Sus scrofa: one gene and its partners. The protein of the gene in region 1 purifies or fractionates together with the protein of each later gene. This does not show direct contact. Links are inferred from orthologs where the notes say so. Each region holds a gene or a part of one and is shown in the gene's direction. Other genes may lie near its edges. The genes, in order: CTDSPL2, STK35 and PDIK1L.

Region 1 (3,630 bases):
GTGTTTGGAATAATGAAATTCTAGTCTCATTATTAGCAAGTTTGATGATTATAATACAGTGTTGTCTATATTCACTATACTGTGCATTAGATATCTAAGGATTATTTATTACTTGTTTTAATTTTGTTCCCTCCCATCTTGGAGTTTTCCTGTGGTTCAGTGGGTTAAGGATCTGGCGTTGTCACTGCAGAGAACTTGGATCACTGCTATGGTGCAGGTTCAATTCTGGGGATCTTCTGCTTGCCATGCATGTGGCCAAAAACAAACAACAACAACAAAAAGTTTGTTCCCATCTTTCCCCACCCACTGTGAGCTCTTAAATAATGATTAATGTACACCGAATCATGATTTCAGGAACATCAGGATCCGATTCCCCGGGACAGGCTGTGGAAGCTGAAGAAATAGTAAAACAACTTGATATGGAACAGGTGGATGAAATTACTACCAGTACTACTACATCAACCAATGGAGCGGCTTACTCAAGTCAAGCAGTTCAAGTGAGGCCATCAATAAATAATGGTTTAGAAGAAGCAGAAGAAACAGTTAATCGTGATATCCCACCCCTTACAGGTGAAAAAGATTCCTTATTTTTCCTTGTATACCTTCATAAATGGTTTACAAAAACACAGTATTTCTTTTTTTGTGTTTTTTTTTTTTTGTCTTTTGTCTTTTTAGGGCCGTACCTGTGGCATATGGAAGTTCCCAGGCTAGGTGCCAGGCCAGGGGTCAAATTGGAGCTGTAGCTGCCAGCCTGCACCACAGCTCATGGCAGTGCCGGATCCTTAACCCACTGAGTGAGGCCAGGGATCAAACCAGAGTCCTCATGGATGCTAGTCAGGTTTGTTAACCGCTGAGCCACAACGGGAACTGCAAAAACTATTTCTTAAGTAGGCAGATTAATTTCATAAATTTTTCTTTCTTGAAGTTAAGAAAGTTAAAATTGGAAATAAATCCTTCTCCCCCAAATCCAGTCATTTTGAAATTCAGTTTCTTAAAGGTTGTTTTGACTATATATCAGTCATTTTACAGTTTAATTATTTGTACCAATCTTACTAGTAGGGGAAATTTAACACAGCTAACAAAATAATATATTCATTAATATATTTATTATAATTACATCAGTCTTAGATCCTTGAGGTCTAAAGTCCCTGTGTAGAGGTAGTTCCATACCTTCAGATTTGTTTCATATATGGATGACATTCCCAAAGAAACTCTTGTTCCTAGATCTGTCCTTATACCCCAACTTTGCAACCCAGTCCTGGATCCTTTTAAAGGGCTAACATAATCATTGGGTCCCCAAGCCAGCCGTCATGGAAATGTAGAAATTTGAAATCAGAATTTATTACTTCGGAGGGTTATGGTAGATAGACATATAAGACTAAAAGATGAAAGTATGTTCCATTATGCTTAAAAACAGAAATAAAACTGAAGATGGACATCTTTTTTCAGAAGGAGATCTTAGGAGTTCCCATTGTGGTGCAGTGGAAACGAATCCGCCTAGGAACCATGAGGTTGTGGGTTCAATCCCTGGCCTTGCTCAGTAGGTTAAGGATCTGGTGTTGCCGTGATCTGTGGTGTAGGTTGCAGATGTGGCTCAGATCCAACTAGAAACCATGAGGTTGTGGGTTCGATCCTTGGCCTTGCTCAGTAGGTTAAGGATCCGGTGTTGCTGTGAGCTGTGGTGTGGGTCGCAGACGCGGCTTGGATCCCGCATTGCTGTGGCTCTGGTGTAGGCTGGTGGGTACAGCTCCGATTAGACCCCTAGCCTGGGAACCTCCATGTGCCATGGGAGTGGCCCCAGAAAAGGCAAAAGACAAAAAAAATAAATAAATAAATAGAGTTTGGCATTAGAAGTAAAATGATGATCTCTCGGATATAAAGAGGAAACTTAAAAAAATCATTGAAGCAGCAGAAAACATGTAAAGAAAAAATACATACAATTATGGAACTTCCATACAGTGCCACCCTATACCAATTTAAAGAGAAAAGCACCATAATAAAAAATTTTACGTTTGTGAAATATAAATATCCATAAACTATTATAATCTTATAGTTTAAGAGTAATAGTGAATCTCACAAGCAAATCAACATGAATAATGTTCTTGGGTTGAAAAGACTTGCAAATGAACCTATTGTTGACATATTATTTAATGCTGATTACTTTGTTTTTTTGTTTTTTGTTTTTTTGTCTTTTCTAGGGCCTCACCCGAGGCATATGGAGGTTCCCAGGCTAGGGGTCTAATTGGAGCTGTAGCTGCCCGTCCCATGCCAGAGACACAGCAACGTGGGATCCGAGCCGTGTCTGTGATCTACACCACAGCTCACGGCAACGCCAGATCCTTAACCCACTGAGCAAGGCCAGGGATTGAACATACAACCTCATGGCTCCCAGTCGGATTCGTTAACCACTGAACCATGACGGGAACTCCAACTGTTGATTACTTTGTTTAGTGTTACAGGCTATTGAGTGGTAAGATAAAGACTGAAGTCAGAGCTCTTGGCTTCTTATTTGATTTTTTTTTTCCTGTTTTTGTGCTTCTGGATAACACTTTGTATTATTTTTTCTGACAACTGTAAAGATGGAGAAGGGATTTCTGTAACTTTAGTTTCTAGAGAGGAAGAGATTTATTCCATTTGTCTTATTCATTTGCTTAACATTTTAATTAATCACTTATTTGTTATGTTGGACCCTGTTTATAAAGATAAATAAGATATGTTCATTGATCCTGAGGAGTATGTGATCTAATTGAGTTAAGTGTACACAAAAATTACTGTAAAGTGTAGTGAGTACTGTTACAAATAAATGAGTAAAATGTTGCAGTTACTCTAGGAGGCTTATGAGAGGAAAGAAAGAAAAGTTTTGCTGATCTTAAAAGATGACTCTTGGATTTCCTGGTGACATAGTGGTTAAAGATTTAGTGTCGTCACTCCTGTGGCTCAGGTTCAGTCCCTGGCTGAAAACTCCACATGCTTCAGGCCCATCTGCCTGCCTCTAGCGTTGGCACCCCACTCCCCAAAAAAGACGAGTGTTAGTGACAGAAGTGTTCCTTTTCCTCAACTTTAAGAATGTAGCCAAAAGGAACAAGAAGTAAGGGGGCCGGCTCTACCATTTACTTACTGTGTAACTTTTTAGAGATTTTAGAGATCAAATGAGATGAAGTATTAAAAATGTTTAGCACAGAATTACTAAAATACTAATTACTTCCTTTCTCCTTTTCTCCGAGGTTAATAGGAATCTGAAACAGTAAAGTGGTAGGAAGATGTTTTCAGTTTTTTCTCTTGTACTAGTGAACTGCTACTGGCATAAAATTGTTAGAGGTGAACGAAAATTCTGCTTTACATCTGTTGTCATTTATTGAACATAAATACTGTATTGGCTCTGTTTCAGAAAGTATGAATACATGATTATAACAAAAAGGGATAAGTTTTTGTCTCGAAAGACTATTATCTACCAGTATTCCATTCCCATAGACAGAGTACAGCAGTTTTTATTGAGGTTTACTCTCTTGGTCCTTTTGGGAAGCTCTAACAAACTATCATTAGACTATGTGGCATATAAGCAACAAAAATTTATTTCTCATAGTTTAGGAGGCTAGGAAATCTAAAGTCAAAGTCCCAGCATATTCACTG
Region 2 (4,307 bases), on another chromosome or scaffold:
TGAGCCACGACGGGAACTCCCCCACAATGTCTTATTTTCTATGTCAGCCCCTCAAAGGCCGGGGCCTACGGGAAGGGCCTAAAGCCTCCCTGCTGCTCCTGCCCTTTTCTTCCATGTCTCCTGCAACTATTGTGTTCCAGTCATGTCCAGCGCATGTGAGGCTCCAGGGAACTAGGCATAGGCATGTTTGCTGACAGGGAAGCCGAGGAAGAAGGTCCTACATGTTCACATAAATGCCCGCCATTAGGGGGGGCTGAGGGGGGTAAGACAGTGTGAAGAGCCTGGGGTCTCAGTTCAAATCCCAGCTAATCAAGCTCCTCCCTTTAGCCTCTTCATCTGTAAAATGGGGCTAAGAACAGTACCTCACAGGCATGAGAATTCTTTGTTACCTTCTATGCCTGACAGAAAACTTTAATGAATGTTGGCTATTGGTCATAAGAATAAGAACAGATTACCACTGTAACTTAAACCAGGAGTTCCCATCGTGGCTCAGTGTTTAACGAATCAGACTAGTATCCATGAGGACCTGGGTTTGATCCCTGGCCTCACTCAGGGGGTTAAGGATCCGGTGTTGCTGTGAACTGTGGTGTAGGTGGAAGACTCGGCTCAGATCCCGATTGGACCCCTAGCCTGGGAACTTCCATATGCCGTGGGTGCAGCCCTAAAAAGACCAAAAAAAAAAAACCCTACAAAATACACACACAAAAAAATTGTCCAGGAGTTCCTGTTGTGGCTGGTAGAAACCAACCCGACTAGTATACCTGAGTTAATTAACGGCCTTTCTAGATTAAAGGAAACTAAAGCGACATGACAACTAAATGCAACATGTGTTCCTCATTGGCTCCTAGAGGACAGCTATATTACTGGGACAATAGCAAAATTTAACTATGGAAGTTGTATTAAATCATATTATTGTTAAAGTTCTTGATGTTGATCATTGTACTGAAATTTTGCAACAGAATATCCCTGTTTTTAGGTAATACACACAGAAGTAGTTAGGAATTAAAGAGCATGATGTCTGAAACAAAGTGTTTTTTTGGGGAAAAAGTACATATATATATTGCATATAATATATGCACAAACATATACACAAGAGAGAATGTGATAATGCAAGTAGTAAAATATAAAAAATTATTATGACAATTTTAAAAGTATATGAGGGCGTTCCCGTGGCTCAGCGGTATTGAACCCAACTAGTATTCATGAGGACGCAGGTTGGATCCCTGGCCTCACTCAGTGGGTTAAGGATCCGGTGTTGCCGTGAGCTGTAGTGTTGGTCACAGATGTGACTTGGTTCCCGAGTTGCTGGGGTTGTGGCATAGGCCAGCAGCTGCAGCTCTGATTCAACCCCTAGCCTGGGAACCTCCATATGCTGCGAGTGCAGCCCTAAACAGCAAAAAAAAGTTTTTCAGTGACCACACTAACAGAAGTGGCTTGACCGCAACCCTCAGGCACTGTTTAGCTTATTCTTCTCCTTCGTTACACACTAATATTGTCAAAAAAAGACCCTGGGTATTAGCTTATTTAATAGTATCTGATAGTTAATGTGTGCAAAGCCTGACCTAAGTGCTTTAACCATCTACCCTCAGTGGATTCTCCAACTACTATTCTTCTCATATTACAGATGAGGACTAGAGACACCATAACGTTAATTAATGGTGTTCCCTGGTGGTCTAGCAGTTAAGGGCTCAGAGTTGTCACTGCTGTAGCTGGGGTTATTCCTGTGGCCAAAAAAGTTTACTTGTGCAAGGTCACCCATATGATTCCATGAGGCACAGAACCTCAACTAAGGTAGAGACTGTCTTGTTCACAGCTCTTTCCCTGGCAATTTAGAACAAAAACGGTGCCTAACATATTATAAGCACTCAATAAATATCTAGATTCAGTTAACAGATATAAGGCATCTAGGAGGCATTGGAGTACAAAGCAGTGAAAAAATATTTAAAAATTCATGCCTAAATGGAGCTTACATTGAACGCTCTCAGGCCTGCACCCAATTAGCCACCCTAGATATAAATATGTACGTGTATGTACATTTCATTTGGTGCTATCAACCCTGAAAATTAGGGCCTACCCACTTTGCAGAAGAGTAAACTGAGGGTCCAAGTGGGGCAATGTTTTGCCCAGGATCCAGGGGCTTAACAGGAGGCAGGGCTCTAGATTCCAACCCAGACCGGGCGGTTCCCAGGCAATCCTTATGCATTAATCAAACCGACCAATCCAATCACCCAATCAGTGTTTATTTGGGCCTACTGCGTGCAGCTCCTCTTCCAGCGCAGGCCAGGAAGGGAGGAGGTTGTGCTGCGCAGGCGGCTTCGGAGACCGGGGAGTTACAGCCAGATCGCGGGAATTTGGCGCCCATTTTCTGCTGGTTAGGTGTTCTAGCCTGTGATTGGGCCTCGGCGCGGCGTGAGTACGCCCGGCTGCGGCTGGTCGGCCGACCTTGGCAGGACCCAGGCGGCGCGGTACTCTTCCGGCCTCCCGGGGGATGGGCCACCAGGAGCCCCCGCTGGCCCGAGTGCGGGCCGGACGTGAGGCTTATATAAAAGGGTTACGTAAAGGGCTCAGCTGGCGCGAACACGTGGAGAGCCGCGGGAGCCCCTACGCTCAGTTCTCCCCCGAGAGCGCCGCTGCCATCACCCGTGCGGCCGCAAGCTCCATTGCACGCTCGGCCCGGGCCAACGCCTCTCGCGCCGCTCCGTACCGGAGGCAGCCCTGGCCCGGAGCGGACCATCCCCAACCCGGGGCCTTAGAGGGGAAACGGGCTGCCCGGAAGTGGAAAGGAGCCGGCCAGGTAAGGGTGCGGTCCGCGGAGTAAAAGCCAGCAGCCAGCCGGGGCGACCCCGGAGCCTCCTGGGCAGAGCAGGAGGGCCCCCAGATTAGCGCGCTCAGGAACGCCGAACTTTTAAGGCGACTCTTTCCACCCGCAGCCTTTCGGGACTTGGGTCGGTCCGCGGGGATCCGTTCGAGCTTAATTCAATGGACTGTTTACACCCGGGAGAACACAGGGAGGGACGCGGGGAGGGGCATCCCAGAGGGAGCCGAGCGGGGGAACCAGATCTCCACAGGCCGATTTGGCGCTTAAGGCGATTTTCTTAAGTCACGACCGCTGCAGGTCCTTGTTTTTCGTATTGTTATAGGATAAATCAACTGAACAGACGAGGAGGTTTTGCTTTTCTTTCCGGCTCCCCCTCTGAGCCATTGCCCCGTGGTTTCGTCTTTCCCGCTTTCCCCTCCCTTCCCCCGTTCAGTCAGCCGCCGTGGCTTCCGTCTTAAAGGGGCCGTGGCGGCCGGAGGAGGAGGAGGTGGGACGCCTTGCGGCCTACGCTCCTTGCCTCCCCGCCTCGGCCTGCGCGTTTAACCGGTTCTTTCGCCCACAGGTCACAATCCAAGGTCCCGATCCTCCGCGTCCCGGGGCCGGACGGAGGGATGAGGCAGGGGGGGCCCGGGCAGCGCCGTTGCTGCTCCCCCCGCCGCTCGCAGCCATGGAAACGGGGGAAGAGGACGGCGCCCGCAGAGGTACACAAAGCCCCGAGCGGAAAAGGCGAAGCCCAGTGCCGCGGGCGCTCAGCGCGAAGCTGAGGCCGGCGGCGGCGGCCCAGGCCATGGATCCGGTGGCGGTCGAGGCCCCGGGCGAGGCCTACCTGGCGAGGCGGCGGCCCGAGGGCGGCGGCGGGTCAGCGCGGCCGCGCTACAGCCTGCTGGCGGAGATCGGGCGCGGCAGTTACGGCGTGGTGTACGAGGCAGTGGCCGGGCGCAGCGGGGCCCGGGTGGCGGTCAAGAAGATCCGCTGCGACGCCCCCGAGAACGTGGAGCTGGCGCTGGCCGAATTCTGGGCCCTGACCAGCCTCAAGCGGCGCCACCAGAACGTCGTGCAGTTTGAGGAGTGCGTCCTGCAGCGCAACGGGCTAGCTCAGCGCATGAGCCACGGCAACAAGAACTCGCAGCTTTACCTGCGCCTGGTGGAGACTTCGCTCAAAGGTAGGGGCGTCTCGGGCCGCCTTGGCTACTCAGGGCCTGGACCCACGAATCCGGTGGGCTCTGCTCAAAGTGACCCCAGGACCTCTTACCTAGACCCTGGTCTTGGCCCTGTCACTCTGAACCAGACACACCCTCCTTTCCAAGCCAAGCATTTGGGCTGTCCTCTCAGCTCAGGATCCAGGATCCGGGATCCGTTCTCAGCACTGTCGTTAGCTGGTATTTTCATAACAAATGTTCATTAAGCGCTAACCATTGTCTCGGTAAGTGCTCAATAAGTGTGAGCCATTATTATGAAACGTGTAGCACTTTTAAAGTCGGATTTGAGA
Region 3 (4,416 bases), on another chromosome or scaffold:
CACTGCATCCTATACAGGTACTATAATTTATTCAGCAAGTTACTTACTGACACATGAGAAGTTTCCAACCTTTTGCTGTCAAAATGTCATAATGAATAGCCTTGTGCACACAGTGGTTAGAATTTTGCCAATGTATCACTAAAAAAGATTCCTAGAAGTTTAGCCTTGACCTAGGATTACTGGGTGAAAGAGTAAATACATATGCAATGTGGCCATAGATTGCTAAATTTCCTTAATTAGAGTTACATCATTTTGCCTCCCCACCAGCAATGTATAGCAATGCTATCCTCTGGAGTATTTTGGCACCATAATTTTGGCAGATAGAGGAGCCTGGAGAAATGAATCATAGACAAAGTTTCTGTCCCCAGGAACTCTCAGTCTAGTAGAAAGCCTATTGGCAAACATACTCATATAATGTAATTTTCAGAGCAGATTTATTCTGAAGCTTAAGTTTCAGAGTCCCTCACTTACAAAGACCCTTTCCAAATCCCTAGCAATGGGTTCATTTTGTAATCTTTTTCCTAAAGAGGACATGCCAAATTATTTAAACATCTACCTCACAGACTTTAGAGTCAGTTTCTTAACTTTGGGGTTTGGGGAGTGGATTCCAAATTCTGCAGCCAGCTTGAGAGGAGGAATTCCTGTATTTAATGACTGAGACAAACTGAGACAAACAAAAGGACAAGGCTCCTTTGACCAAGAGACACCCCTCCCCTGATTCTGATCAGTTACCCCACAGGTGTCCAGCTGGCTATCTACACAGAGCCCTCTATTTTCCCTGTAGTTTTTTTGTTTTTTGCTTTTTAGGGCTGCACCTGAGGCATATGGAAGTTCCCAGGCTAGGGGTCAAATCGGAGCTGCAGCTGTGAGCCTACATACACCACAGCCACAGTGACCCGGGATCCAAGCTGCATCTTCGACCTATGCTGCAGCTCACGGGCATCGTGGATCTTTAATCCAATAAGCGAGGCCAGGGATCAAACCCACATCTGCATGGATACTAGTTGCGTTCTGAACCGCTGAGCCACAATGGGAAGTCCTTTCCTCTACTTTCAAGGGTAGAAAGCAAGCCTTAGATTACATCAGTATTCCCAGGAGACAGCTAACCTCACTTCGCACTCAGGGCAAAAGCCTGAAGGGATTACAGAGCAGGGGGTTTTGGGGGCGGGGGTAAAGGGGTCACACCAGCTGAGTGGGTATTCAAGGCAGGTGCTCCCCCCTCAAAACAAACAACTTTCGCCAAATAAGACAAAGATCCGTTTTTGCTTTTGTTTTTCACCTCTAAAAGCAAGATTCGTCATAAAGCCTGTCCTTGTGGGGTTTGGTTGGGATTAGGAGACAACATTTAAAGACTTAACCCAGCCCCAGACTTTGCAGAGAAGCTGCATAAGTGGAGGACAGAAAATAAAATGGGTAATTGGTTGATTCTTGAGGGCAGGAGCAGGGATTCTTTGCACATCGTGCCTTGTACAGCACTGGGAGGAGGACTAGCCACTTTATTGACAAATAGTTGGTGCAGAATAAATCAGTTTAGAAGGAATGAAGGTTTCTGGCAGATAAAATATCGAACGACCGATTGGTCCGGGTCTCTGAGCAAGTGACAGTCCCGGACTGGCTATGAGGTGAACGCTTCCCTGGATTTGGCTGACAGCTGTCGGGTACCCCAATGACTCAAGCTGACCGTCGGGCCCCAAGAACGGCTGTCTTCGCTGTCAATCCCGGCTCCCGCCAACCCGGGCCTCCCCCTCTAGATGCGCAGGGCGGGGGTGGGGGAGGCCGACCCTCCACGAAGAGCCCGCGGGTGCCGCCACCGGGTAGGCGTGCGCGCGCGGCAACGGCCAAGTGCGGGCGCCACGGTCCCTTCCTCCCCACTGGGGGCAGGGCGCCCGTGACTCGCGGCGGCCGGGCACCGGAACAATGCGGCTTCGGCTTCTTTAAGGGAGATACCACCGCGCCGGCGGGGCAGGGGACTGCATCTTCCCAGATGATCGCACCCAGCCCCGCGCCGCCGCTGCCTCGGCAACTCCACCGCCCGCAAAAATGGCTCAGTGACTCTGACAAAAGGTGCAGCCTCCCGCTCGGCGGGGTGGACGCCAGGCCTCCCAGCTCGGGCCGTGCCTCCCCGCGAGCCCGCGGAAGAGGCCCGCATCCTGCAGGCATCTCAGGCCCGCGCCGAGGAAGATGCACCAGGCGTTCCACCCCAGCGACCCCGCACACCTGCCCGCAGCTCGGTAGGTCGTGAATGGAGGCGGGGCGGGGGAGGGGAGGGCGCCGACAGCACGCACCCCTAGGCCCGGACCTGCTGCTGCGGACCACCCAGGACCGCAGGCCGTGCGAGCCTGCCGCAGCTGGAAGGCGACCGAGTCCCGTGCATGGAGCGGCCTCCGACTCCCGGGCCCGACCACCCCTGCGGGGAGGGGCACGAGTGGTGCGTTCCGGAGCGCGCACCCCTTCCGCGACTCCCGTGTCCTGAAAGCCAGGGGAGCCGGGAGGAAGCCAGCGGAGCGCCGGGCGCGCGCCCAATAGGACTGGAGCTCGGCGTCCCCGCTCGCGCTACGGAAAGCCGGAGGGGGGCGGGGCCGCGCGGCGTAAGGGGGTGTGTCCGCGCGCACCACGGGGGCGCGCGCCGGCCTCTGACTGGAGGCCGCGGCGGCGGAGGCGCGAGCTGCCCGATAATGGCGGCCTGCAGAGCCCGTGAGAGGGAGAAGCGGCGGCGGCTACCCTGAGGTAAATCTGGCCCCTCGGCCTGGCAGAGAGGCCTTGAAGCAGAGCCGAAGGCCCTGCACGTGCCTCCGGCCCCAGGAGTCCTGTCACAGGGCTGTCAGCACAGTCATCCTGGGGAAGGCCCCTCGCACCTCAGGCCTCCGGCCCGCACCCCTCAGGCCACCGGCCCCAGCTGCGGCCTCCTCTAATTCCCGTGGTCCCGGGCCTCAGCCGCCGGCCCCGAGAAGTAGGGACAACTGCAGGACCGGCTCTTCGGGGTGAAGGGCCCCTGGAGGATCCCCTCCGGGTTTCAGCTGGACGCAGCCGAGGAGGGGGAGGGCCTGATACTTGGCCAATGAGCGGGGCCCTGAGCCGCCGCGTCTGGCAGCACCTCTGCCCAGGACTGGCCCTTCCCGGGCGCCAGCAGGTGTACTGCCTGGCCTGCCCGCGTCCGGGGCTGCGTGCGCCCGGCAGGCGCGAGGGCCGGGAGATGCCGTCGTAAATTACCAAGGTTCTCCCGGGATGCTTCACCGTGCTAGGTTTTGACCCCGGATCTCAAGGATTTCATAAACACCTCCTCCCCCTTATTCAGGTGCTCTTTCGTGTGAGGATGTGGGTCGGCTTCAAAAACACGAGCCCCTTTGAGATGGATAGTAATTGGCGATCCACGGAGAGCAGGAAAGCATGTCCACTGTGTAGTTGGGGCAGAGGACTCCGAGGCAGGAAATCAGATGCTTGGAAATAGAGTAGGAATTTGATGAGTGGGTGTCCAGTGAGAGGAAGTAGGATTAAGATGCAATCTCAGAAGCTTTCGTTTTCTTTATTAAATCTATCCTACAGACTTAAAGTAGCTGATCCTAACTTCTCAGGTTCTAGTGTCAACAGCTTTTTGTTCCCACAGACTGTACAGTGTAAAAATTGTACAGTCTCAGGTGACTTTTCTTGCCCATGGTGGCAGTCTACAAATGAGAATTTATTCCTGAAGCTCGTTAGAATTTTGACATCCTTTGGAGCGTGAGGAGGCACACTTTAGACACTCTTGATTCAACACGTGAGCATTTCCGTGTAGGGCCTTTGCTCTTGCCTTTAAATAGTTTATCAAGTTTAATTCCAAAGAACTCCCTCGGAGAGCCCCTTAATTTGCAAGACAGATTTCGCTGGGAAAAATGACCTAGATCTGAATAGCTATCGTTAAAACAACAACAGAAAGGTAATCATATTCTAAGTAGCTTACTATATCTTTAAAGGAACATTTTTCTCCACAAATGTTATTTTCCTTTTGCAAGAAATAAGGAAATAACATAAACAAAATTAACCTAGGAACATATACAGTTTGACTATTTACTTTTAAATAATAACAACTACACATTTTCACTTCTGTGATCTGGTTCACTTTCAGTCCCTAAGCATAAGCCAGGTGTTTGTATTTATAACTCTGAGGGTTTGGTTTTGGTTTTGCCATTTTTATGGCCTTTTATGTGTGTGTCAGTTTTCAGGGGAAGCTGGAGTTTTGTTTGTTTTTTTATGATCAGTAAATAATAATGCTGAATTTTTAAATTTATTTTAAACAGTGATGTATTGAAGCAGTTCATGAAAGAGACAGTATAGTGTAGTGGTTAAAATTAAGAATTTCAGAGCCAGATGGTCTGCTTTCCAAATCCCAGGCCCACCAATTACTAGCTGTTTGACATTGGGCATGTTGCTTAAACTCTC

What was found.
Region 2: the proteins of CTDSPL2 (region 1) and STK35 purify together in Homo sapiens (affinity purification with mass spectrometry; 3 studies listed by BioGRID and IntAct, counting the BioPlex papers as one, with this or other methods). This does not show direct contact. The link is inferred for Sus scrofa from reciprocal best matches to the Homo sapiens genes CTDSPL2 and STK35.
Region 3: the proteins of CTDSPL2 (region 1) and PDIK1L purify together in Homo sapiens (affinity purification with mass spectrometry; 4 studies listed by BioGRID and IntAct, counting the BioPlex papers as one, with this or other methods). This does not show direct contact. The link is inferred for Sus scrofa from reciprocal best matches to the Homo sapiens genes CTDSPL2 and PDIK1L.

Annotation. Positions count from the first base shown.
Region 1 is NC_010443.5:127,055,841-127,059,470, reverse strand, and holds part of CTDSPL2 (CTD small phosphatase-like protein 2), read left to right. Parts: intron 1-354; coding exon 355-570; intron 571-3,630. UniProt on the Homo sapiens protein: Probable phosphatase.
Region 2 is NC_010459.5:33,410,401-33,414,707, reverse strand, and holds the start of STK35 (serine/threonine-protein kinase 35), read left to right. Parts: upstream 1-1,382; 5' UTR 1,383-2,488; coding exon 2,489-2,794; intron 2,795-3,380; coding exon 3,381-3,981; intron 3,982-4,307.
Region 3 is NC_010448.4:83,541,160-83,545,575, forward strand, and holds the start of PDIK1L (serine/threonine-protein kinase PDIK1L), read left to right. Parts: upstream 1-1,585; 5' UTR 1,586-1,666; coding exon 1,667-2,231; intron 2,232-2,579; exon of another isoform or gene 2,580-2,727; intron 2,728-4,416.